Linked DNA regions of Coturnix japonica. The protein of the gene in region 7 interacts with the protein of the main gene of each other region in a pairwise test. Links are inferred from orthologs where the notes say so. Each region holds a gene or a part of one and is shown on either strand. Other genes may lie near its edges. The genes, in order: ATXN1, TRIM54, KLHL12, CZH18orf25, RNF4, ETV6 and UBE2I.

Region 1 (4,166 bases), on a different chromosome or scaffold from region 7:
TTGCTGAGTGGCACGGGCATCCAGACATCCGGGCCTGCTGCTGTCCCCAGAGTGCTCTGAAACAGGCATTCACTTTGGGTTATGTAGCAAACCTGATCTGGAGAGGTAGAAGTTGCACTGTTAAAATATGCTTGTGCTCATAAAGCCGGTCTATAAGACAGTACCAACTCTCAGTCATGAGCTGTGCAGATTACCATGTTGTTAGCACATTCTCTAGGAAATATAGAGGACGAGTACAGTCATTCATAGAAGGGACTGCTTTGCTGATCTGCATACTGACAGAGCCCTAGGGTCTTTTGCATCCAGACTAACGCTAGATCCAATGCTGAAACACAGCGGTACTACCTGTGGACACACACGTGACACATCGGCACTACAGACATCTGCTCGGAGCTCACAGCTGTGCTGGGGGGGGGGGATTGGAAGAGGCTCAAACAACAGCCCGCTCTGGGCAGCCACGGCACAGGGAGCGCACGTGCTGCTCTCGGAGCCCTTCTGGAGCTGAGACCCAGCCTTGGGGGTTTATGCAGCATTTCGTGTGGTGACTTTGGGATGGGGAGAGGCTTTCCCGGCGCCGTGCGTGCCTTCCTGATGCCAAAGCAGAGCGAGCGGTTCCCTGCGCGGCAGTCGGGTTGCCAGCAAGCAGAGCAGACGCCGTCCCGTGCCTGTGTTCCTCCCATTCATTTATTCGGGGAGAGGCGGGCAGTGGTCTGCGCGCAGCCGGGAGAGACGAGCGAGGATTGTGCCGGAGCGCGTACGAGGAGCGCAGCGGGAGCGAGTACCCAAACATGCGTGGTGCAGCCCTGCCCGCCTCGTAGTGCGGCGACGGAATGAGTCAGAGCCTCTTTGGTCTGAATGAAGTGGAAGGTACTCTCTACAAAGCAACTCGAGCATACGCCAAGGATCCGGAAAAATAAAACTAATTCAGAAAACGGGAGTGGGATGCGGGCTCCTGCGCTACGACGCTTTGAACGGCAAAACGCAATATGGCATCTTAAATAAAATCACCCTCCCCTGACTCTCACGGCGCTGCCTCCGAGCCGTCCCTGGCTCGGGTTTATTTCCTCCCTTAGCGACAGCCCGGCCGAGGCCGCCGCTCCCGCATCCTGGCCCCGCTCTGCTCCCCCCGCTGGGCAGCGCGTCCCTCCCGGTGCCCGCCGGTGCGTCCCTCAGCACAGCGGGCGTCGGGGCGAGGAACGGCCGGGCTGGGGGGGTAAAAAGGGGGGAGGAGGAGGAGGGCGGCTCGGCCCCGGGCGGCCTCCAAAGGGTTAAGGCCGGCGGCCCCGGCGGTGCTGAGCGTATGCAATAATCTGTGTGGCTCTCTTGGCCGCCCGCCAGAGTGCTGCCTTGCCTCCTCCTCCTCCTCCTCCTCCCCCCCGCCCCCCCCTTTCGCGTGAAGTAGGATCCTTGAGCTGTTGCAGAGGCAGCCAACTGCTCCATATTTGGCTTCTATTACACATTTACATACTGGAGAGCGGAGCGGCAGCGAGCGCTGTACTGCAGACATCATTTCTACTACAGCGCCGGAGCAGCCCGGAGCGTGTCCCCGCGGGGGAAGGAGCCCTCACTTACACACACATACACACGCACACATATACACACACACACACACATACACACCCGCAGACCCCCACCCCGGGAGGACGGCGGTGCTCGAGTCTCAGTCCGACCCCCCCCGCCAGCCCCACCTCCACTGACACTTTACAGTAAGTGCCTTTTTCTTCCTCCTCTGCTTTCTGCCCCTCCACCCCCCCCGCTCCTCCTCCTCCTCCCCCGGCTTCTCCCCTTGTTTGGGCTGCGGAGCCGCCCGCGGTTCCCGGCTGGAAAAACACGGGGCTGGGGGCGGCTCTGTGCGTGTATATGTGTGTATGTGTGTGTGTGTATATGTGTGTGTGTGTGTGTATATGTGTGTGCGGGGGGGCAGCGCTGCGGCCCGGCCTCAGGGCCCGGCCCGGGCGGGGGCCGCGACATGGCCGAGGGCAGCGGCCTGGGCCCGGGGCCGGGGCTCGCACGGCCCTCCCGCTCCTCCTCCTCCTCCTTCCTTCTCCCTCACCCCGCCGGCAGGGTGGACATTTTGCGAGCGGCGGCCTCGGGGTGTGTGTTTGTAGCCGGGTGTGTATGTGTAGATGTGTGTGTGTGTGTGTGTGTGTGTGTGGCGGTGCGGTGCGTGACGGGGTGGTGACACGGCCCCTCCGTGTGTGTGTGTGTGTGTGTGTGTGTGTGGGAGAGAGGAGGGGGGGGGCCGCGGCCGGGCCGCACGGCGCATGTAGTAGGGGCTGGGCGGCCGCTGAGGGTGAATGAAGCGAGCGGGCGGCGGAGGAGGCGGCGCTGGGACGGGGATGTGGCCGGCGGCCGCCCCGCGCCGCTGCTGTCGGGGCCCAGGCCGCCTGCGGACAACGCCCGGTACCGCCGCCGGGGGAGCGCGGGCGGGAGGGCCGCGGGGCAGCGCCACTTTAACCCCGGCCGGAGCTCGGGGTCGGGTCGGTGTCGTTCGCTATTACCCCACCCCCACCCCGGTAGGGACGCGGACGCCGCGATCCGCGAGCGCGATTCCTGGGGGTATCGAAGTCTCAATTAAACGCGCTGCGAAACGTCAGCGCCCGCTGTAATAGCGATAAGAACGCGACGGAGCGGGGAGCGCAGAGGAGGAATTACCGAGCGGCACTGACGGAGGAGCAAACAAGTCGGAAGCCGTTATATAATGCGGGGAGCGGCGGCTGGTTGGGCGCCGCTGACCGCACGGAGCGCAGCGCCGGGCCGAGCCGTGTGGGGGGACATCCCGCTCGGTGCCGGGCGCCGCGGGCTGTTTGTCCGTCCGTCCGTGCGTGCGGCGGCGCAATGAGGGCTTTTAATTTCGGTTTCGAGCCCTTCCGCGGCGGTGCGGGCCCGGGCCCTTCACGCAGCCCTTCGGAGACCGCCCGGCCCCGCTCCGCCGAACGATGAGAGAGCGCTGCTATGGCAACAGACAGCCCCGGCCGCTCAGGTGTGCGCGCCGTGAGCCCCGCCGCCTCCGTGCGGGGTGCGGGGACAGGGACGGGGGGAGGCACCGCACAGCGGCTCCGTCAGGGCGCTGCGGGAGCACGGAAACTTTGCCGCTGCTCCTCGCACCCAGCCCGGCTCCGTAGGGCCGGGAATTGTTGGTACCGCTGGGAACGTGAGCAAGGAGCTGTGCGCTGAGGGGCAGCCGGCTTCCTTTGCCCTCGGTGAACAAACCCGAGGGGGCATATCGTATAAACATCGCCACGCGGCTCGTTGCTGATATTCCGATTGATACCACTTTGCGTTTGTGCTCGTTAACATACAGCAGAGAGCGAAACTTTCCGCCCCGTACGGCGTGTTGCCGTGTTGGAGCGGGCAGTGCGGCTCCTGCCCTCCCGGAGCAGCTCATGCCGGCCCTTCCCCTCGTTGCCCGCACACGGGCGCAGGCGTCGCTTCGTGCAGGCACCGAATGTGGCGCTGAGTCGTAATGCCGCGGGCCTGGAGCGGCTCCAGGGGCTGCTTGAGAGCCGCGCACACCGTGTGTATATCTGGGGTAGCTCCGCTCGTTGGACTCCGGCCAGGCGCAGAGCAGAGTAGCAGAGCTCAGGCGCTGATCCGCTGCCTGCAGCCATCGTTTTCCCAATATCTTACCACGGCAAAAAGCAACGTGGGATTTTTTTTGCCCCCTGGAGGTGCCGCGTTAGCCACGTGCGTCCACGCTGCTACGGAGCGCAGCCCGGAGCACTTCGCATCTCGGCGGTGAGAAGCTGCCGGCACCGTGAAGCACACACACAATCACAGCATCACAGAATGACCCGGGTTGGAAGGGACCTCAAGGATCATGTAGTTCCAACCCCCTGCCTGGCAGGGCCACCAAACATACACATTTACTAGATCAGGAGCACCGGAGCTCCCCGGCAGCCCCTGGGCAGTGCACGGTGCCGGCAACTTCTCACCGCATCTCTTCTCCCTGCCCTGCTGTGATTTACTCGGAGAGGCTGAAGGAACCGGTCTTTTATTGTAAGAGACATTTACAAGAGGCCTGGAATTGCACTTAACGAACATTTTTATGTAATAGATCCAGTGGCCTAGTTTCATCTTAATTAAGAAAATAGACGTTAGATGCGCTCACCTGAAAAGCAACTGATTGAAACATTAGGATGCGAAAGTATTGGTCTCAGAGCAAA
Region 2 (4,128 bases), on a different chromosome or scaffold from region 7:
GGCTCCAGGCATCCTACAGTGGCCCTGGGATTCTCATGGCAGCAGGACACTGAGGTCTCTATGTGGCCCCAAAGGTCTCAAGGCAGCCCTGGGGTCTCACAATGTCTGGGTCTGGGGTCTCAGGTGGCCCTGGGGTCTGATAGTGGCCCAGGGGATCTCCATGGCAGCTGGGCCCTGTGGTCTCAGAGCAGCCCCATGGGTCTCATGGCAATCCCAAGCTCTTAGGGCATATTGGGGGTCTCGGGGAAGCCTCGGGGGTCTCTGGGAAGCCTCAGGCTGTGACATCCCATCCCGCAGGCCCTGGCGCTGTGCTGTGGTTTGCTGACCTGCTGCTGCTGTTTTTGCTGCTGCTTCTTCTGCTGCGGGAAGTGCTGCCCACCCCGCGAGGACGAGTCCTATAAGTACGTCGACCCCAAGGACCTGGAGGCGGACGATGGTGGCGGTGAGTTGGGGTCCAAAATGGTGACCCCCCCCACGATGCTCCCGGCTCACAGAGACCTGCAGGGGGGGCTGCACCGGGCTCGGGGGCTGGTGGGACACGTGGGTTGGGGGCTCTCTCGGTTTCCTTAACAGAGGAACAGAGACATGAGGGCCGTGCTGGTGCCAGGGGCAGCCCCGGATCGCTGCCAGGACCCCAGGACTCCCTCCTGGTTCCACTGACCCACACATTTTCTTTCCAGACCCACAGGTCCCGGTGGAAGCGCAGCCCCCCGCAAGCAACGCCCAGCCCCTGCCTGCTGCCGGAGCCAGGAGCGAGGCATAGGGCCACCTATGTGCCGGAGGGGGGTGGGGGGTAAAGCCTCCTCCGGGACCACCGCCGCTTCCCAAGACCCCATCGTGGGGTGGGGAGGGGGGTGTACAATCTCAGGTGAAACCGTCCTACAGCGCTGTGACTGAGACCGGTAGCACTGTAACCCCGGGGCCGGACCCCCCTGACGGGAGCTGGGTGCCAAACGCTGCTCTGGGGCTGGTATGGGGGGGGAGGAGGAGGGGTCGGAGAGGGGCCTCCCGTCGCGCCCCACTCTGCCTCGCCGTGGGGCCGCACCGCGCTCGTTATGGGGCTGGGACCCTTCAGGCACTTTCCGTGGGTTTGTATATGTTATATGGGCACCATTAAAGGATGATGGGGGGGAGCTCGGCGGTGTCGCTCTCTCGTCTCGGAGCGGCGGCTGTGGAGCCGGGCTGGGGGGGGGCAGCGCCGTGCCGCTCCCGGGGGGCGTCGGGACGGAGTGACCCCGGCGGTGGGACGGCCGCCCGCCGTGACTCAGTGTCACCCGACGCCGCCGACAGCTGCGCGGCCCCGACGGGGCGGGGGCGGCTAAAATTAGCGCTGCGGGGCCGGAGCGGGGCAGTGAGGGGCCGGAGCGGTACCGGAGAGGTACCGGGACCGCGGCGATGAACTTCGCCGTGGGGCTGAAGCCGCTGCTGGCGGAAGCGCGAAGCATGGAGAGCCTGGAGAAGCAGCTACTGTGCCCCATCTGCCTGGAGATGTTCAGCAAGCCTGTGGTCATCCTGCCCTGCCAGCATAACCTCTGCCGCAAGTGTGCCAACGACATCTTCCAGGTGCGGGGCGCAGGGACCGGGCTGTGCCCGGGGTTGGGGGCTCCGTACACGGGAGGAGGGGGGATCTCTGTCTCGGAGCGGTTCGCTAACCCCTCCTTCCCCCCCTGCCCTGCTCTCTCCTTTCCCCCCTGCCCCCCCAGGCCTCCAACCCGCTGTGGCAGTCCCGGGGTTCCGGCGCGGGGCCGTCCGGGGGCCGGTTCCGCTGCCCTACGTGTCGCCATGAGGTCCTGCTGGACCGGCACGGTGTGTACGGGCTGCAGAGGAACCTGCTGGTGGAGAACATCATCGACATCTACAAGCAGGAGTCGGCGCGGTGCGGGGCGGGACACGCGTGGGAGGGAGCCCGTGGGGATGGGGGGGGGGTGATTGGGGCTAAAGGGGCTCAAGGGCACCGTGGGGTGAGGTGGGGCGGGGGATGCCGTGGCTTGTGTGGTATGGAGGGCTGTGCAGGGGACACGAGGGGGAATGAGCCTGGGTGGGGGGGTATTGGGGCTAAACTTGTGGGGCTGGGGGTGCAGTGAGGCGGGGGATGCTACGGGGCAGAGGTGTGCCGTGCCGTGGGGCCGTGCCGTGGGGCCGTGCCGTGTGCCGTGCCGTGGGGCCGTGCCGTGGGGCCGTGCCGTGGGGCCGTGCCGTGGGGCCGTGCCGTGGGGCCGTGCCGTGGGGCCGTGCCGTGGGGCGCAGCGCCCTCTCCCTCCCGTCGCAGCCCCCTGCACGCCAAGGCGGAGCAGCAGCTGATGTGCAAGGATCATGAGGATGAGAGGATCAACATCTACTGCGTCACCTGCGAGGTCCCCACCTGCTCCATGTGCAAGGTCTTCGGTGCTCACAAGGACTGCGAAGTCGCCCCTCTGCAGAGCATCTTCCAGGGCCAGAAGGTGGGTGACCCCCAGAGCCGGGGGGGGGGTCAATGGAGCGGGCGCGGTGGGAGGGGTTTCCCGGTGCGACCCCCGACGCCGCTCCGCCCCCCAGAGCGAGCTGAACAACTGCATTTCCATGCTAGTAGCGGGGAACGACCGCATCCAGACCATCATTTCCCAGCTGGAAGATTCCTGCCGCAGCACTGAGGTGGGGCTGCCCTGTGTGTGCCTTCCCCCCCACACCCCCCCCCCAGGCCCCGCGTGTGGGGTCTGCGTGGTTCGGGACCCCCACCCGGTGTATTGTGCCCACATGGTGGGATGCTCCTGGGAGGGAAATCCCCACTGCAGCCATGGAACGCGGGTGTCCCCAGGGCACAGTGACACAGGGGTGTCCTGTGGGGCCGGGCTGGGAGCGTGGCAGCCCCCTGAGCCCCCGGGGGGGGATCCTACAGGAGAACGGCCGGCGGCAGAAGCAGCACGTGGGGCTGCGCTTCGACTCGCTCTGCAGCATCCTGGAGGAGCGCAAGAAGGAGCTGCTGCAGAGCATCGCCCGCGAGCAGGAGGGGAAGGTGCAGCGCGTGCGCGGCCTCATCCGACAGTACGGGGACCACCTGGAGGCCTCCTCCAAGCTGGTGGAGACGGCCATCCAGGCCATGGAGGAACCTCAGATGGCCGTGTACCTGCAGGTGCCTGGGGGGGGCTGTGTGCGGGGCGCCCTGCGGCTTGGTGCGCTGCTCCTGGGATGCTGACGGCACTCTGCTTTCCCCCACAGCACTCCAAGGAGCTCCTGAAGAAGTGAGTGGGGTAGGGTGAGATGGGATGGGATGGGATGGGATGGGATGGGATGGGATGGGATGGGATGGGATGGGATGGGATGGGGAGGGGGATGAGATGAGGATGGCATGGGGGGGTGGGTGGGCAGGGCTGATGCTGCTTGCTGTACCCCCAGGATCACAGACATGTCCAAGGTGTCGATGAGCAGCCGCCCTGAGCCCGGCTATGAGAGCATGGACCACTTCTCCATCAATGTGGACCATGTGGCTGAGATGCTGCGCACCATCGACTTCCAGCCAGGTGCCAGCATGGGGCGGGCGCTGCCTTGGGGAGGGGACTGCAGCAGGGATGTCCTCACACTGAGATGTGCCTCTGCCCCACAGAAGCGCTGGGTGAGGATGATGGAGATGGACCCACAGACAGCAGTGAAGGTGCAGGGGATGAGGAGAGCCTGGAGGCACCTGAGGCTGCTGAAGGTGAGAGTGTGTTGTGCTGTGCCGTGCTATGCTGTGCCGCAGTCACCACGGTGCTGCCGTGGCTGCGGCGTGGCCATGTACGGTGCATGGTCTCACCATGTGTCCCTCTCTCCACCTGTCCAATGCTTTTTCTCTACAGATGTGGGGCCAAGGCAGAAGCCATTGAGCTCTCCCCATGGTGAGATGCTCTGTGGGGATGAGCAGGGTGTAGGGATGGGATGGGGATGGGATAGAGATGGAGTGGCAGGGGATGGGATGAGGATGGGTGGGGATGGGGTGAGGATGAATGGGGATGAGGATGGGTGGGGAGGGGGGGAGTGAGGATGGGGATATGACAGGGATGGGATGGGGATGGGGTAGCAGGAGATGGGGTGAGGATGAGTGGGGAGGGAGGAAGTGAGGATGGGGATAGGATAGGGATGGGGTGGCAGGGGATGGGGTGAGGATGAGGAGAG
Region 3 (3,500 bases), on a different chromosome or scaffold from region 7:
AGCAGTGCCTCTGTGCTGTGCTCAGTCTGGGCCTTGGAGCCATAACACCTTGTGTCAAACTCCTCTTGTCCTTTGCACGCTGATCTTGGTGTAGCAGAGCTGCCCCATCTAGAAAAAGAGACACGGGATGGATTCTTTTATCCGTGCTTTGTGCTACTTCATGTCTGCGTGGCAGTGCCTGGGGGGGGGGAGCTGACAGTAATAAGCAAAGCCCTGGTGTCGTTTGGCATTGCCAGGTTAGCGTGGCTGCTCACAGCTGGGCAATCCCATGGCACATCCACTTCTGCTTTAGGAGCTGCAAAGTCAGTGCAGCTCACAGTTACCAGTGTCAGATTTAACCTGGGGGAGGAGGGGGTTAAACACAGCAGGCACAAACAGCACAAGCAGCCGTCCTGCTGCTCAGCATTACTGTGCCCCTCGGAAGAGACATTGCATGTGTGTGCTTGAGTGGTGTTATTCCACTGCTGTTCAGTCAGTCTGTCCTTATTGTTTCCAACTTCCCTGTACTGAAGCCCTTTCCCGAGCAGAGGGCTGACAGGATGTGTTCAGTGCTCATTCACCCCTCCGATTTTCCATAGGTGTGAAACAAGCTTGCTGTGAGTTTCTAGAAAGCCAGCTGGATCCATCAAATTGTTTGGGCATTCGGGATTTTGCTGAGACACACAATTGTGTTGATCTAATGCAAGCTGCAGAGGTCTTCAGCCAGAAACATTTTCCAGAGGTGGTTCAGCATGAAGAGTTTATCCTCTTAAATCAAGAAGAGGTTGAAAAGCTCATCAAGTGTGATGAAATTCAGGTAAAACCTGAACGTACCATTACTCTGCAAAGCATTGGACGTAAAGCATTGAAAGCTGTTGGAAACCAGCCCGTAGTGCTCAGGAGGGACTCACCCATCCTTCCCCAGCTGGGAGTTCGCTTTCCAGGAAGGTTCTCCTCATTCCTTTGGCCCCATAACCTCAAACCAATGGGTGATGTGCAGGCTGTGTGTCTGAGCGTGTTGTCTCGGGGCTGCACATCACTACCTCCATGTTCCCTCTCCTCCCCCTCTCCCCGGAGGAGGTTGCAGCCATGCGTTGTCTCGGTGCCCACGTTGCAGAAACGCCCACAGGACTTTAACTTGTTTGCAGACCGTTGTGGTGTTACTCAGCAGCACGAGCAGTGCATGTGTCGTTCCCAGCATGCAGCCCTTCTGCTTGCACAGGGTGCAGAGCGGGGCTGCTAGACACTGCTTCAGGCGGTTACATGAAGGTGTTTCTGCCTCTGAATTTTGGTACGGACTGTGTTCACTCAGAGCTGGATTCTGGAGGTGTTACTGCATGGCTGGGAACCGTCTGATCCTGTTTGGTTTTTTACCCAAGTTTTCTCTGAGTGTGTATTTAGTTGGGAACTGAAATAAGGTGAATATTGCCTGAGAATAGGAAGGGGGCAGTTCTGTGTTGTTAAGCTGGACTTCAACAAGAGATGGTGTTTGCTTCAGCCCTAAAAGAAGTGATGGAGTCGTTACTCAGAGCTCACAGCAGTGTGAGCTCCTTGGAGCAGGTTGTGTCATTGGTACCTCCTGAGTTCCTCAGAGCCCCTCGAAGGGGTGACCAGAGGAGAGATGTGGATGTGTGCTTTGAAAGGCTGCAGCAGAAGTGGCCTTTGGCCAAGCTGATGTCATTAACAAACCTTGGAAAGGAGCACGCAGGGCGGCAGTGAGGGCTGCATGCAGGTGGTGCTCAGAGCAGGGGAGGGCTGAGGGCGCTGGGTGATCACAGCAGTGTCCTTAGTGCTGAGGTTTGATCTGGGTGGGTTGTGGTGAGAGCTTCTGGGCAGCCAGGGATCCCAGGGCTGGGAATGCTTTGTGTTGGAAGGGATCGTCCCCCAATCCCTTCCACCTCCTACACCACCTGCCCAGCAGCACTGATGGGGATGGAGCATCCCCTGCTCCTCCAGACTGTGTGTTTTGCTGCCTCACCTCTCTTGTGGTGAAGAATTTCACTGCAATTACACCTAATCTAAACCCGCTCTCTTTTAATTTAAAACTATCACCTGCAGGCCCAATAAAAAGGTCTCTCCTCATCTTTTTTGATGAGCTCTCTTTAATTATTGAAAGGCTGCTGTGAGGTTGCCCTTCCCCACGTGGAAGGAGCACAGCCCCTCAGCCCATCCCTGCAGGAGGTGCTTTGTCCTCTGAGTGTCACTGTGGGCTCTGGGCCCTCCATGTCCTCATGCTCAAGGAGCCCAAAGAGCGGGGCAGAGGGGCAGAACCTGCTCCCACACTGCCTGCTGGGCTCCTGTCAGTGCAGCCCTGGCTGTGATGCTGCTGCCTGGTTTCTCACCCACAGCAGACTCCCATCTGTGCTCTCCAGCTGCTGCTGGGCACAGAGCTGTCCGTTTAGCCACAGGCTGCTGCTCTCCTGTCTGAGCAGTGTGTCCCTCTTCCTGCAGGTGGACTCAGAAGAACCTGTATTTGAGGCTGTTATAAACTGGGTGAAGCACTCAAAGAAGGACCGGGAGGCGTCGCTGCCGGAGCTGCTGCAGTATGTGCGAATGCCGCTCCTCACCCCGCGCTACATCACAGACGTTATCGACACCGAGGTATGGGTAGAAGCAAACCAAGATGTGGATGATGAGATCTTTAAGCTTTTGCAATGGAAGTTTTAATTTCAAACAATCAATGCTGATCCAGTGCAAGGTTTGGCAGCAGGGCACTGTGAATTCGGCCTTGGTGTGGTGCAGCAGCACATGGTATTGAACACCCACAGGGAACTGGATGTGGAGCTGCAGCGGGGGGTTGGCCCAGGCCCAGCTGGGGAACAAGGAGGACATGAGGCAATGCTTAGGGCTGCTGTGCCCACAGCTGCTTCTGGAGGAGACTTCCCTGTTCTGAGTTCCGCCCATAGCAGGGTGTTCCATACAGAGCAGCGCAGTTTGGGCTTTGCTCCATGCTGTGTCTCTGGCAGTCACATATTGAGCTGACGCTGTGGGGCAGACCCAGCCAGGCCCACTCAGCCTTTGCTCCCTCCTCAATTGGGTTTCCACTGGCTAACATGTAGCAGAATCCTATTTTCCTCAGTTTTCCAGTGTAGGGTATTTTATCCTGTAATCTGCAGTGCCACGAGAGATGAGCTGTATGAGAACAGTCCCATGGCATCTCTGGGGGGATCTTAGCACAGACCACTGGTATCAGTGACTGCTGTCTTTCTGCAGCCGTTCATCCGATGCAGTCTGCAGTGCAGAGACCTCGTCGATGAAGCAAAGAAATTCCATCTCCGTCCTGAGCTCCGGAGCCAGATGCAGGGACCCAGGACCAGAGCCCGTCTGGGTGAGTGGTGTGGAGGTGCCGGGAGTAGCTGTGGGACCTGCAGGAGCTGTGTGTGCCATGCAGTGCTGTGGTGCTCTGCAACAAAGACTTCTTGATCTGCAGTGCACAGTGGCATAGAAGGGGGACAGCAGTGCAGGACAGGGTGGCTTGTTAACGAGTGGCAGCACAGGGAGTAGCTGGTTGCCCTGCTCCT
Region 4 (3,500 bases), on a different chromosome or scaffold from region 7:
AAGAAGTTACTTAGGAAAGCCTTACTAGAAACAGCTCTTCAGATACCTAGATTTGAATCTTACAGTTCGTTGCATTCTTTCTGTATTCAGCAGTAGACATTTGCTCCTTCTAAATCAGACCAGTCTTCCCTTTCAACACAGCAAAGTGCACTTGGGCTGGAGGAATCCCAGGCATATATACAGACTAGAAGGAGCAGTCCTTGAGAGGAGCCCTGCAGAGAAGGACCTGGGGGTCCTGAGAGATGAAAAACTGAACATGAGCCAGCAGTGTGCTCTTACTGCTTGGAAAGCAAATGGTATCCTGGGCTCCATCAGAAGAGGGGTGGCCAGCAGGGACAGGGAGGTGATTGTCCCTCCCTGAGTCCAGGTCTGGAGCCCCCAGTAAAGGAAAGAGAGCTGCTGGGGAGGGTCCAGAGGAGGGCTGAAGGTCCTGTCCTGCTCAGCACATATTTAGTGTCCCATTGGGGTGACACTGTGTGCGTATCATGTAATAATGAAGAGTTCCCCCCAGGCATGCAACTGCCAGCGCTCCTGTGGAGCTGCGCTAAGTGCAGTGCTTTGGCCCAGAACATTTCTGCATTTCATGCTGATTTCTATGGCTGAAGGCTGAGCCCAAACAAAGTTTTCATTCTGCCATTTGAGGAACAAGAACTCCAGCCGCTGTCACCCACTCTCAATTGATAAACTGTAGTAATTAGCTGAGGCAAAGTGTCTGAATTAAGTGCATCCTTTCAGCATTAGGATATTCATCCAGTCTCTCTTTGCTCCTTCATTTATCTTGAATTCGACTTTTTTTTTTCCTGAGCCTCTTCCTTTTCTAGTCTGCATTCCAGTGATGGGGGATTTTCAAGACTCAAAAAGAAAATACACCACTGTAATAAAAGGGACCAAACTCACCTTTTTGTTACCCCTCAGTAATTGACTTCAGGATCATAGAATGGCTTAGGTTGGAGGGGACCTCAGAGATGATTGAGCTCCAGTCTCCTGCCATGGGCTGGTTGCCAGCCACTAGATCAGATTGCCCACAAAGACATCCAGCCTGCCCTTGAGCACCTCCATAGGGGTGTTCTCCTCTCACAAGCCCAAGGCTATTTGCAGCTCCTAGGCACTGACAACACAAGGAACTTGAATACACATATTGAGGCCAGCCAGACTAACTCCACATCCCCACTATGCTGTGTGCAAATACTTGCATAAATGTCCTTGTCTGCCCCTGTAAGAGCATGAGGTTTGCCCAGGAACTCAGATTCACTTGATCACCATTTGTGCCATCGTAATAAAATTACACAGCAAAGATACCATATAAAAGATCAGTTCATTTTTGTTAATGCTTATTCAGTTGCTATCGTTTATTATTCAAATATTAGGGACTTAAGAAATTCAAGAAGAAAACGTTATTTATAACTACCATTAACGTCTATTGAAAGCAGTTATAAGATACACTGCTTTTATACAAATCACCCTTATGGCTTCCACTAATCATGCAAGCAGTTCCCTTTCTCTCTCTCCTCCCCTTCTATTTGGCAGCCAAAAGCACATATGGTAGTTAGGAGAAAGCATATTTATCACTGCACACCATAGATCTGCTTCTTGCTAGCCTTCATTTTGGAAGACAAAGCCCAAAACACTGGAGAAAAATTCCCCTGTCCCTGGTGGGTTGATGCTTTGTAAGGAAGTGTTAAATTAGTGTTATTGCAATTGGATCACTCCTATTAGAAAGTTAGTTTTATTCAGACAGCCCTACAATAACGTAAGCCGTAGATTGAGATTACTTGTAAAATTCCTTAATCAGATGGTTTGACAAATTTGATGGCCTGTAATACAGCGTTTATTTTAAAATGAAGGTTCTCTCCTTTTGGGATTGTAAATGTGACGCTGTCAGATACGGAGATGTTTATGTGCTAATGTAAAAGATAATACAGATACCACTGCCTCATCTTTGTGTTTTCTGTCTATATGCAAAGGTTAAAATGTCTCTGTAATCAGGCTGTTCATTATCTGAAGTTCAGAAATTGATACTGATTACATTTCTTTAAGAGCCTCGTTAGGGGATTGCTTTAATTTTTAACTTATTTGTACTTCTAAAGGTGCCTTTTACTGTATGCTGATGTCTGACAGCAGCTGCCTTTCTCTCCCTTTGCAGATGGACCTCCTGTTGTAGCTCATTATGATATATCAGACACAAACTCAGACCCTGAAGTGGTAAACGTGGACAATCTGTTGGCGGCTGCTGTGGTGCAAGAGCACAATAATTCCTTGGGAAACCAAGACCTGGGATCTGCCTGGGGAAACAGGGAGCTGCTGGATGAGATGGGTGCTGATGCAGGTTGGTTTGAGCTCCCTTCCTCTGGTGTTCATTCCTGCTTCTCACTCAGTGTGTCCACCTCCCATCCTTTCAATGTTTTTGTGATCTATACAGCTTTAAAAGCACCTTACCCATGCAATAAAACAGTATAGGTGCTTATTGAAAGTGCCTGACATTTACTCCAACCAACAACCGATAAAGACTGACAGAGTTTCTGACACTGGGTTTCTTAATAATTTTCTTTTCCCCCTCTAATTAGTTAAGTCTGGTTTGTTCTGTTTGTTTGTTTTCTTGTTCTGGTGGTCGTGGGAGTGTTTTCCTGCTCCCTAATGAAAGTGAGCTACTCTCACTACTGAATAGTTGATTATGATGACCCAGATAGCTGCCAGCTAGTAAACCAATCATCATCTCATTTTAATTATTGTAATTGTCTTTATATATCTTTTTTGGGGTCTCTCTTGTCTTTTTCACTCTGCAAAATGCAAGCATTCATTTTTTTTCCCTCATGCCATCTGCATTTTTAACATACTCCAGAAAATTGGACATTCCAGTTTCAGATAAATACAAAGGATGCAGAGGTGCTGCTCGTAATTGGGCTTCACATCAGTGGGCTGAATCCTCCTACAAGAAGGCGAGAGCAGGAATAGAGTGGAAGGCTGTAAAGAAGCTCCTGGACCTCATAATGTTGCTCAGATCCACTTGGCACACAGGAGCTATGCAGTAAGATGAGGTGCTCCAAGGTCTGGGTGAGAGCTGTGTAAGCAGAGCACTCGTGGGGGTGTTTTCTGTTGACTTCACCCCATTGCCCCGAATGCCTTATAACATAATGCCTTCCTTGCCATTCATTTTTGGTACACCGTTAAGGTTTTCACTTAATGCTAGGGCATGGAGGCTTGCTCATGGTGGAGCAGAGCTTTGTGTTTCACTCTGTGTTTTAAACACAGGCTATACTGCACGCCTCTGTGTAGCTCTGAGCTGCTTTTCAGCATCCATAAAGCTTAAGCAAATACAAATGCGTAGCACATTTTGAAAGAGGTGTTCCATTATCACCTAGTGGAGAGGTTCTCTTCTGGAATACAAAGGACCTCTGCTGTGTTACCTTTGCTGCATTCTTATTGAAGCCTAATACATAGCACCGACTGTTTGGTACTTCATCAGAAAGAAAGGAATGTAAGGAAATAAAAAGTGAAGATTT
Region 5 (3,500 bases), on a different chromosome or scaffold from region 7:
TGAGAAATCTGGACTTTTTAACAGTGTACTGCCTAAAGAAATATAAGGAATTGAGAATTGTAGCTTCCTTGCGTTTAATTTTATGGTATTTATACCTCTTATTTTTTCTGTAACTCTGTATCAAGAAACACCATGAGTACAGTAAGTATTTTACTGATCAATGCAAAAGTGATTCTTAAAATATATTTATCATATTTATATAAATCTTGGTAACAGTTTACTGTAAATACGCTGCAGCACTAATTTGCCATTTAACTTCATGTTCTGTGATACTCAGAAGTTTCTCATCTGTAGGTGCTATAGCAGCGTTTCAGAAATAACTCAGAGCATGAGTGAAAACTGATGGCATTGATTGGCTGGAAGTTAATACCTGGTGTCATTGTGAGCTCATCTTCCCATGTAGACCTTCAGAATGTAGTGTGGCTTTTTCTTTTGTGATTCAGCTGGTGGGAGACCTGGCATGGAGTCTGCTCCTTGATGAGATCAGTTCAGATAGGAGTCATTTACCGCTGTTATATTTATGCTACAGGCTTCTAGCGGTGTGTTTTGTTTACCTTGATGTTGGAAAGGTGGGGGCTGCATTAGTATTACTCCTAAAGAACGTACTAAGGCTTTCTTCTCTCTTAGACTCCAAGAAAGCGCCGTGGAGGATCAGCTAACTCTAGGCAAGCTCAGAAACGAAGCAGACTGATAGCTTCTACCACAGAGATGGCTTCAGAAGGAGAGCCAATAGAACTGGAAGAAAGTGGTAAGCTTTCTTTTGAACTATATAAGAAAACAGGCTTCTCCTGGAGTGCTGGGAATCCACATAATGTGGTTTTGGCCAGTTTCAAGGTCCTTTGAAGGGGAGTGGAAAGCTACTTATTTAACAAAGGACATAGTATGGAAGCAGTGAACAGCAGCAAGCCTACCGACAGCTGTTTAAGATTGTTACTGGGGTGCAATTGCTAATAGGTGAATTAGGTAAGAAAGGTGCATGTGTGTTGCTCGCACATCCAGTTATCTGGTCCGATGCACTCGGGGTTACTGCAGCTGCCACTTCAGATAACAGCAAACTAAATTTGGAAACTTGCAAGTAAATAAATGGCTTCTTGTGGTTTTGCTATGTATTTGGCTTTTGAAAGTTAGATGAGATGTGATACTGGAACACTTACAGCGCAGGACTGGAAAAGAAATATCCTGTTTGATTCATGTTTTAAAGCGTGATAAACGTTCTCCTATATTAGATGAATGTGTTGCTGTGCACCTCTCACAAGATACTGATATATCAGAAAGCACATGAGGTCAGTTAGTTGTGCACTGCAACTTGCAGAAGCTGTTAATACTGTATATATAGACCGCTGACAGCAAAGCTTGAATGAAAAGTTGAGTATGTTACCAAAGAGAAGAGGGATGGGCAGTGTTGTATGATACCTCAGCCTGTTATACACTGTTATACACTGATGGGTAACTTTACTCCTGTGAGCTCTGATTTGTGTTCTAACATTATGTTTTTAAGCTGGTGAAGAAGTAGTAGATCTCACGTGTGAATCTTCTGATCCTGTAGTAGTTGATCTAACTCACAATGATTCTGTTGTGGTAAGTAGTGACATGCTTATCTAAATGCTGTAGTCAAATGAGTTCTGTGTTCTTGCTGCTGATAGAGTCTAAGGATGAGCTGAAAGTTGGCTTTTCAGTACATGCATTCCTTTGAAATGTGTATTGACCTACATTAAGAGATCTGTGCAATACAAGCAAATGGATACACTCCCTGCAGAAGTAAATTTACTCTGTACAACACTGGGCCTCGGGTCATAGCTTACCAGAGCCTTAGATTTTCAGAAGAAAGGCTTCTTAGTTTGTCTTCTGGCATCTCAGTAGGTAGCCTATGTTAAAGGGTTAAAGTGTGGCTCTTATTTAGCATTTCACAGCTCACATCCAATCCCAGATAGACCTATTAATGTATCTGCATCTGTGACTACCACCTGCAGGTGATGAGCACAGTCTGTTGTAGCTTGTTGCTCCCAGTCTTGGGGTTATATTACCCATCATGGGTCATGTAAGTAAATGCCATTTAAAGCTGAAGGTGTGTTGAATATTTCAAAGAAAAAGGCTGATGATTTAAACAGAAAATCAAAGAAGTAGCAGTAAGTCTTCAGCATGACAAATAGGAAGTGTTCAGGCATCTACAAGTTGCCTGAGCAACTAGGAGCTAGTTAAACTTATAGCAAGTCTTTGAAAATTCACTTTTTTGTTACTGTTGTTATTAAAGCTTGAGCAGTATTTGATCCAGTCTGCAGTGTAGTTAATAACGCTGGTTTGGGGATGCCACTGCTGCCTTGTAGAGCCAAAAACAAGCAGCGGGAATAACAGTTTGTTGCTGAGCCAGTACAAGGGGAATGCTGCAATCCTTATAGCATGGTTTGCGTTGCCCTGGCTTTGGTTCCGCTGAATGTAACAGCGGGTTGGTTTTCTGTTTTTCAGCCTCAATCAAGTTGGGGTACTGAAACTGGGGAGCAGAGAGGAGATTAAGATGGCTCCTAAGCTGCCTCCATTTCCTTCCCTTAGCAGCAAAACCCAAAGTAATCGCTTAATAAACGAGTCACTTCTCTGAAACTATTTTAACATTTTGTTAATCAAGATGACATTGTGGTATCCTAAAATTCTTACTTTGCCTTGTTGTTGGTTTCATAGCTATTCGGGTGCTTGTACATAAAACTTCAGTGCATGCTACAGTTTAACTTTATTTTTCTTTTCCCTCCCATGCTGTATGTGTTGGTTCATCGTTGAAGATCGTTGAAGGTGAGTTTCCATTTTACAAGCATCAAGGAATTGTCCTGAACTTTTCCTTTCCCAACAAACATAAGCAGCATGGGTTGAAACTGCTTTCATGGAAAGACAGAGAGCAGTGCTGTAGTACCTGGCCAGCACCTCAGGGAATGGATTCAATCTATATTTCAGAGTCTCTGTGAAAGCTGATGTGAAGTATCTGAAATAAAAGCCACTGGATGTTCTTAGAATACATTTTTCTTCTCCAGTGCAGAAGTTCCATAAGCATGAAGTCATCAGTCACTTGGGTTAGCCTTTGTAGCAGTGGAATATCTGCTTTGAGTAAGACCTTGTTCAAAGGCCTTATTAACCTGTGTTGCACTGAAGGAAATGAGGTAGAAAGATATCAAAGGTCGTGCTGCTTTCATTATGTAGTCTGACACTCCTCAAATGTAGCACTGATCAGTGCTAACAAGTTGGGTGTTTTCTGCCTCAGGTCTAATTGTAGACAAGGTATAACAAAACTAATCCTTTGCACCTTTCAGACCTTATTCTGATTACAATACCCGAGGTGTGTTAATAAGCTGTTGTCTCGCTCCAATTTAGGAGTGAGGCAAAGGTTCTTTTGATATGTTATGCCCAGCGTGAGATTAAGAAGAAGAGCATTCAAATGTTGATCCGACCAGTTTATTGGAAATGATAGACAGCTGAGGGGATGGGGAAGGGAGAGCGACGAATGCCAAAAGCGTAGG
Region 6 (3,500 bases), on a different chromosome or scaffold from region 7:
GTGTGGCAGCAGAATGCAATTCACTGCGTGTGACCTCTTGCTGAAACAGAAAACAAGGTTGCCTGTGTGCAGAAGTGAAAAAAAAAAGCAAAACAAAACAGTACAAATCTCCTGGGTTTCTTTTCTGACTTGGTAAGACAAGGGTAATCAGATCTCATAGAGTGGTGTGCCAGGAAGGAAATTTCTTCCCATGTGCGGCATACAATCAGCCAGGTGCAAGATGAGGAAGGGAGGTTCGTCTTCCTCTGAAGCATAAGGTATTAGCTCCTGCCAGAGGCTGTGTACCAGAGATCTCATCAGATACGGCAAATTTCACGTTCCTCTGCCCAGCGTGAAGCTTTCATTTCTACACAACACATTGTAACAAGTCAAACAATGAGTCATCCCACAAGGGGGAAAAGGAAAGAAAGCTTTTATCTCCCAGCAGACTGGAGATAATCTGCCTACCTAGGTATAAACAATTCTTCACCATGCTGCCTTCTCTCCAGGGGAAGGAAGCTGTTTTAAATTCATCTGTAGAACAGATACTGAATTGTCACACCTCCCAGGGCCAAGTAAAGGTGGCTGGAAGGGGCATGTAGAGAGGGCATTCCCTGCTTCTGTGAGAGGGTGCACAGTGAGCATGGATGGGGCCAGCAGCTTCATCTCCTGCCTGCTCTGAGCCTTGGAAGGAGCAGCTGGGGGTCAACCCCATCCCACAGTGGAAGCCTGGAATGAAATAATATCCTAGAAGGGATGTTGAGGCATCTTGTTTTTCAGAATGTCCAAAATAAACTGAGATACCTAAACTAATGAAGTGTTGCACAGCCCAATGCTTAGTGTGATCCTGACATCTCTCTACCACACCTTGCCTGGAGACTTTGCATGTTACGGTGTGGGGAGAAATGGAGATTCTATGATATTTGCCTATATTCACATACCTTGTCTAATTTTGTAACGCAGTCTTGGTCTTTTCCTGGTACAGGTTTGCAGCCCATTTACTGGAGCAGGGAGGATGTCGCACAGTGGCTCAGGTGGGCGGAGAAGGAGTTTTCCCTGAGGCCGATTGAGAGCAACACCTTTGAAATGAATGGCAAGGCTCTGTTGCTCCTGACCAAAGAGGACTTTCGATACAGATCGCCTCATTCAGGTGAGGAATTCTTATGGAAGCTACAGTTGAAAGAAGAGAAGAAACTGCAACAAGAGGGACAAAAGAGGATACAGAATCATGCTTGTTAGGGTGGGCTGGGCAGTGGAGCAGAGAAGGGACAGAAACTCTTATATGAGACAAAGACAGAAAAGACAAGAGGGAAGAGAAATCTAGTTACCCCTGAGTTGTAAGTAAATTTGGGTGCAACTCCACACCCAAAAATGCAACCTGTCTCTCATTAAAACTCTTTGCAGAACCCACAGAAAGTGGGCTTCTTTGGCAGCATTTCATGGCTTCCAGCTCTTCCCCATAAAGACTTATCTTTTTGCAGACCCAACAACAGCAGCAAGTTAATCAAGTGCTCGAGCCTCTTAAGAAGCTGACATTAGCATTCTGTCTCACAGCTGGCTTGGCTGACATGCTTCTAAGAGTGACTGCAAAATTCATCCATGGGGGACCTTTCCTCTATTTTACAGCCCTTGTGGGCTTTACTTTACTTTATCATACTCTCTCACGTGCTGGAGGCTGGCCCAAAGTACAACACAGATAGGTGTGAATCAGTTGGCCTGTTGTTCAAATTATGTCTTCATTTATTCACACAAGTGATTTAGAAATACATATGTGGTCTTCCTGTACTTAGATCCCCTGCAGTCTTTCTGCTATGGTATCCCAGTCAGAGTAAGCCTCTGCCCTCCTTTGTCAGAGATGTTTAACTAAATATGAGTTATTGGTTCTATATAAGAGTTGTGAGCTTTCTTTTTATGACCATACGTGGTACCTCTGTTAAATATAAACATTTACTCAATCACTATAGATGATCAAAGAGTTTGCACCAAGTGGTTACAGAACTGCTGTTACCAGGCTTGCAGCATAAGATTCGCTCAGTGCAGAAGCGCAGCTGGTGCAGTTTGGCTCAGGCTGATAAAAAAGGAATGGCACTAATTCTGCTTCTAGTTCCTTTGTGACTCCCTTGAATGCACCCAACCATCCTCCTGCAGAATCTGCCTCTCATACTATGGTTTATATTTCTTCTATACACACTTTTCAAAGCATGTACTTTAAACCAAGAATAATTTTTATAAAAGGAATTGCCAGACATCTGTGTCTATTGCTAGTATAATACAGTAGTGAAAACTGATGCCTGGAAACATCCTTTGGTGGGTTTTTTTGGTACTCATTTTGAGCGATTTCATTGCAAAAATTAACCCAGTTTTAAGGCAAAAGAAGTACTGAAAGTGGGCAAGGACTGTAAAGGACAACTCTATGTAACTTGTTTGTTATTCCCCTTATCATACCAGTGCCTTGCTGCCTACCAGTTATTTCTCTACTCTTCCCTTTATGTGCTGTGAGGGCACTTGAAATGAGTAGGATTAAAATGTTTGTTGGCTGGAGATAGAGCGTTCTCAGAGAAGAGCCTCTGGCTTGCAAATCCACACTGTGCAGAAGGTTAAACTCTTGTTTACCTAAACTTGGGTTAGAATGGCCTCTGTCCCAGCTCTTTCTCTCCTCTTTTTCTCCAGGTATTATTCCTCACCAATAATAAACATTTTAGAGGATAGCTCAGTCAGCCTAAATTACTATAGGTAAAATATACCTCAGTGTTTCCCAGTAATAAAATACACGTGAAACATAAGAACTGTAAAATAATATTTGCTATAGAGCTTAAGTTTTTCATAGAGTGTTGATATATAAAGGCTCTATCCTTTCTACTCCTGGTTAAACCAGTAGAATAGCATCCTCTCCTCCCAGTGACTGTACCAATAAAATGGGTACACAGCCACCAGCTATACTCTGATCTAGCACTGGCTCGGGAAGAGAGCAGAGGAGAGAGAGAGTGAGGAGACTTTTGTTCTTGTAACTAATACAGCTGTGTCTTTGTGATGCAGAAGTTTAAATACTTTGTTAGGTGAAAAAAGAAAAGTTATTGCTTGGAGTGTTATAGTACTAGTTATGGTTATGCCACTATTGCATTCAAAGATGCAAATTATGAGGTAAAAGACTTTCATGTACTCAACATGGAAAAGGTAACTGAGTTCTTGAGGCTTTGTTTGTAATTAGATTTTCAGGTATTGCAGACACTTCTTTAAAATGCCCTGAAGTCACTACTGAGACAGTGAAAGCAGCTGAGATGCTAAAAATAAAGGAAGTTGAACTGTGGAAAGCAGGATAGCTTTAACCGTTTCATACTAAGACAATAAACTTCACTGCAAGTAGAACATTATAGAGACAGCAGCTGAATGGCACACAGCTTTCAGTCTCATAGGAGCAACTGTTAACCCCACACACACTTGAGAAAACTCTCCTGGAAAATCCAGGGTTTCCCAGATGAAACTGTTAAGTTCCTTTTCAGATACTACTGCTGTAACTTGTT
Region 7 (3,218 bases):
GCTGTGGAATTGCCTGGGGTGGTAACACAGACATGGCAGGTTTCCTGCTTTTGGTACAGGCCACAAGCCAAAGTGCAGCTCTTTAACAATAGCTGTGGAAATCTCCTGTTTGGTGAGTGGGGGAAGTTGGATGGGGGACAGATGTGCAGAGAATTTGTGTGTATGTGTGTCTCTGGCTGGTTTGTTTGTCCTACACTGATGTTCTAAACAATCTGTTACATATTAGCCTTGGCTTCGCATGCCAGTAACTCTTTTTTTTCCCTCAGGTAAATTTGAACCACCATTATTCCACCCAAACGTGTATCCTTCAGGCACAGTGTGTCTCTCCATCTTAGAGGAGGATAAGGACTGGAGGCCAGCAATCACAATTAAACAGGTCATTAGTTGTACCTATGCATATAATTATGCTTCTTTCTCGCTTTGCCAGTGTGTCTTACATGAATGTAAAATGCTCATTACATGTTTCTACGGTTGGGATTTTTGGTGTGAATGTAGTGATTTATTTTTTTTTTCCTTTTGTTGCATGTTTCTTCATCACTTAGTAATATCCGTGCTTCTGTTGCTTCTGTACCTTCATCCACAGATCTTGTTAGGAATACAAGAACTTCTAAATGAACCAAATATTCAAGATCCAGCTCAAGCAGAGGCGTACACAATTTACTGGTAAGTGTGTGGATCACCATGAGAGCTGCATGTTGCCTACAGCTGTCTGTTGTCGATGGTACATGCAAATGTTTGGGGGAAGGATCAAGGGAGCTTTTCTGCCTTCATGGCTATGTCCTGTTGAGATGCCCAGCTTATGCTGAACTCAAGCTAAGTAATACCTCCAGCATTTATAGGCTAATGGAACTTTTAACAGTGTGACAACAGAAAACATGAAGATGCGTTCAGTTGGACCATGATTCTCATCTTGGTCTCAGACCAGTACAGATTCCAAAGCATAATGATTTCATAAGAACAGTGAAAGTGAGAAGGAAGAGAGTGGATTAGTTGACAAGTTCCATTGGTAAATACAGGGGTAATTTAGTTCTGTCCAGCAATGTGCACCTATAAGTGCTTGTGCCTGAAGGTTGAAGAGCTGTGGTTGTTAGAAGGATTTTATGAGCTTTGAAAACTGGTGTTCAAAACTGTTTTTAAGTGTATAGGAGGCCTGGAGCTTTAGGGGAGTTAAAATTCAAACCAAAAACCCCACCGTTTTTTAGGCTCAATCTTAAAATATTCCTATCATTAAAAATAGATTACTGACCCATAATTCTTAAGGAAGCAGTACACTCTGTAAACAAATGCTTTTGGCACTGACAGCTACTGAAATAACGACTGAAACAGAAATGCAAAATTAGACTGAAGAACAAGTCTTCAGGAGAGTCCCAAGGTAGAAAAATAGCTTGTATGCAGAGTCTCATAAAAAGTCATGTCAGAAATGTCATACAGGACCACAGAGAGAAGGAATCATAGGGATGGATGGTGTGTATCCTATTTATAGACCTTACTCAAGGGTATTCTTTAAGTATCTCTGAAGACTGGATGAGTGTGTTCAAATGGAGGATGGTTGTAGGCAGTGCCTTAGGGAGCGAGGAATGACAAGGCAGACCCACCTTCTTTTCTCCTCTTGGATAAGAAAAAAAATAGTCTATGGAAATATGGAGCAGGAATAGAATAATTCTCTGAAAGCGTACATAGCCCATGACCCATTTTATACTTCCCCTCATGTGTTTATGCAAAAACCATCTCTGCTGGTCTTGTTCCTGCATAACTGCAGAGGCTGTGAAGGCAGGTTGTTAATTTGTACCTCAGTGACTGGTTGGTACTAATTGATACTGACTCACGGATCTTGGACTTGTTCTCATTTTTGGGGTTGCCTTTGTACTGTTTTTCTGCAGTACTTCAGGTGTGCTGTGTACCTCCTCCTCTCCTGTAGTTGTGCAGTTTGCTATGGAAGGTGTTCCTTTATTCGGGTGCTCTGAGTTGGGAGAATTAACAGCTAGAAACAGGAGGGAATTTTGCAATTCGGCCTTATTTCTCAAGCTTTAATTGCCCTTTCTTGTTCTTCTATTCAGCCAAAACAGAGTGGAATATGAAAAGAGGGTTCGAGCACAAGCCAAGAAGTTTGCACCATCATAAGCATCTGTCATGCAGCATCTTAAAAAGGAAGGGATTGGTTTGGCAAGAACTTGTTTACAAAACTTTTGCAAAATCTAATGTTGCTATGTACAATTAATATCCACTTAGGGGAGGGGGTTGTATGTGTGCCATTTTCCATATTCGCCACTTGTATACAGTTCTAAATTTGCTGAATTGCCCCCAGTTTTTTCATACAGGGTCTCTTCCTTCAGTCTTTTGTATTTTTGATTGTTATGTAAAACTTGCTTTTATTTTAATATTGATGTCAGTATTTCAACTGCTGTAAAATTATAAACTTTTATACTTCTATAAATTCACTAGTATCTCTAGTTACTTTGCTATCTGATGCAGGCATGCTTTAAAATGTTAGAACTATATTTAGCCTTTAGCTGGCTGTATGGAAAAATAAAAATCATGCCCTCCACCCCCTTCCCTCCCTGAATTTGTTTTTCTATCTTTCAGAAACTAGGTTGTTATTGCTTAAGAGCCTCTGAGATCCAAAGTCAGCCAGCATCCTTATTCTGCATCACTTCCTTTGTGTTTATATGGCATTGTCTGTGTTGCTGTTTAGAGTAAATAAACTGTTTATATAAAGGGCTTTGTTTCATCCTCTTCATTAAAAGGCCGCTGTTTAAGCAGCTCTGAACACAACTCGGTTAAAAGTTGTGATGCTTTACTTCTCAGCTGCTGCCTCCTTTATTTTCCCTGTCCCTGATGTAGAGGTGGTCTGTCTCTGTGCTGATTACTGGCAGCTATTCTATAGTTGACCAGTTCCTTAAGCACCTTATAGAGTTGTATGACTAACTAGGGATCAATTGCTTATTGTATATTACAGACTGGTCTGATCACTGGAATATGGAATGATACAAGCATGAATGAACAATAATAGAAATGCTCTGAAGATGAGGGGGCCTACAGGATCTGGGCATTATATGTACTAAGTAACATTATGGGTTGTCTTCCTATCCAGTGCTGTTGAAGGGTTTGTGGAGAGGTTTATTTGAAATTTGAAACCAATTGGGTGCTTGAAACTTGAGAGTATCTACTTAAAAGGTAAAGGAAGAAGAATACAATTAGTAACAGCTCCTCAGGGGCTC

Evidence for each region.
Region 1: the proteins of UBE2I (region 7) and ATXN1 interact in binary tests that used the Homo sapiens proteins (3 or more experiments, as listed by UniProt). The link is inferred for Coturnix japonica from reciprocal best matches to the Homo sapiens genes UBE2I and ATXN1.
Region 2: the proteins of UBE2I (region 7) and TRIM54 interact in a two-hybrid assay, tested with the Homo sapiens proteins (3 studies listed by BioGRID and IntAct). The link is inferred for Coturnix japonica from reciprocal best matches to the Homo sapiens genes UBE2I and TRIM54.
Region 3: the proteins of UBE2I (region 7) and KLHL12 interact in a two-hybrid assay, tested with the Homo sapiens proteins (2 studies listed by BioGRID). The two-hybrid records come from large-scale screens. The link is inferred for Coturnix japonica from reciprocal best matches to the Homo sapiens genes UBE2I and KLHL12.
Region 4: the proteins of UBE2I (region 7) and CZH18orf25 interact in a two-hybrid assay, tested with the Homo sapiens proteins (2 studies listed by BioGRID and IntAct). The two-hybrid records come from large-scale screens. The link is inferred for Coturnix japonica from reciprocal best matches to the Homo sapiens genes UBE2I and ARK2N.
Region 5: the proteins of UBE2I (region 7) and RNF4 interact in a two-hybrid assay, tested with the Homo sapiens proteins (3 studies listed by BioGRID and IntAct). The link is inferred for Coturnix japonica from reciprocal best matches to the Homo sapiens genes UBE2I and RNF4.
Region 6: the proteins of UBE2I (region 7) and ETV6 interact in a two-hybrid assay, tested with the Homo sapiens proteins (2 studies listed by BioGRID and IntAct, with this or other methods). The link is inferred for Coturnix japonica from reciprocal best matches to the Homo sapiens genes UBE2I and ETV6.

The regions. Positions count from the first base shown.
Region 1 is NC_029517.1:67,238,775-67,242,940, forward strand, and holds the start of ATXN1 (ataxin-1), read left to right. Parts: upstream 1-1,366; 5' UTR 1,367-1,706; intron 1,707-2,236; exon of another isoform or gene 2,237-2,480; intron 2,481-2,511; exon of another isoform or gene 2,512-2,983; intron 2,984-4,166. UniProt on the Homo sapiens protein: Chromatin-binding factor that repress Notch signaling in the absence of Notch intracellular domain by acting as a CBF1 corepressor. Binds to the HEY promoter and might assist, along with NCOR2, RBPJ-mediated repression. Binds RNA in vitro.
Region 2 is NC_029518.1:95,417,684-95,421,811, reverse strand, and holds the start of TRIM54 (tripartite motif-containing protein 54), read left to right. Parts: upstream 1-1,328; 5' UTR 1,329-1,395; coding exon 1,396-1,563; intron 1,564-1,703; coding exon 1,704-1,876; intron 1,877-2,269; coding exon 2,270-2,441; intron 2,442-2,535; coding exon 2,536-2,631; intron 2,632-2,875; coding exon 2,876-3,109; intron 3,110-3,195; coding exon 3,196-3,218; intron 3,219-3,372; coding exon 3,373-3,497; intron 3,498-3,580; coding exon 3,581-3,673; intron 3,674-3,812; coding exon 3,813-3,851; intron 3,852-4,128. Other genes in the region: DNAJC5G (dnaJ homolog subfamily C member 5G), read left to right, coding at 298-442, 681-763. UniProt on the Homo sapiens protein: May bind and stabilize microtubules during myotubes formation.
Region 3 is NC_029541.1:899,991-903,490, forward strand, and holds part of KLHL12 (kelch-like protein 12), read left to right. Parts: intron 1-578; coding exon 579-796; intron 797-2,430; coding exon 2,431-2,580; intron 2,581-3,192; coding exon 3,193-3,307; intron 3,308-3,500. UniProt on the Homo sapiens protein: Substrate-specific adapter of a BCR (BTB-CUL3-RBX1) E3 ubiquitin ligase complex that acts as a negative regulator of Wnt signaling pathway and ER-Golgi transport.
Region 4 is NC_029547.1:1,819,759-1,823,258, reverse strand, and holds part of CZH18orf25 (uncharacterized protein C18orf25 homolog), read left to right. Parts: intron 1-2,143; coding exon 2,144-2,326; intron 2,327-3,500. UniProt on the Homo sapiens protein: AMPK substrate important for exercise capacity and skeletal muscle function.
Region 5 is NC_029519.1:74,944,716-74,948,215, reverse strand, and holds part of RNF4 (E3 ubiquitin-protein ligase RNF4), read left to right. Parts: 5' UTR 1-82; coding exon of another isoform or gene 83-85; 5' UTR 86-132; coding exon 133-141; intron 142-627; coding exon 628-748; intron 749-1,498; coding exon 1,499-1,578; intron 1,579-2,771; coding exon 2,772-2,781; intron 2,782-3,500. UniProt on the Homo sapiens protein: E3 ubiquitin-protein ligase which binds polysumoylated chains covalently attached to proteins and mediates 'Lys-6'-, 'Lys-11'-, 'Lys-48'- and 'Lys-63'-linked polyubiquitination of those substrates and their subsequent targeting to the proteasome for degradation.
Region 6 is NC_029516.1:65,808,950-65,812,449, forward strand, and holds part of ETV6 (transcription factor ETV6), read left to right. Parts: intron 1-964; coding exon 965-1,129; intron 1,130-3,500. UniProt on the Homo sapiens protein: Transcriptional repressor; binds to the DNA sequence 5'-CCGGAAGT-3'. Plays a role in hematopoiesis and malignant transformation.
Region 7 is NC_029529.1:7,286,290-7,289,507, forward strand, and holds the end of UBE2I (SUMO-conjugating enzyme UBC9), read left to right. Parts: intron 1-266; coding exon 267-376; intron 377-583; coding exon 584-663; intron 664-2,057; coding exon 2,058-2,121; 3' UTR 2,122-2,718; downstream 2,719-3,218. UniProt on the Homo sapiens protein: Accepts the ubiquitin-like proteins SUMO1, SUMO2, SUMO3, SUMO4 and SUMO1P1/SUMO5 from the UBLE1A-UBLE1B E1 complex and catalyzes their covalent attachment to other proteins with the help of an E3 ligase such as RANBP2, CBX4 and ZNF451.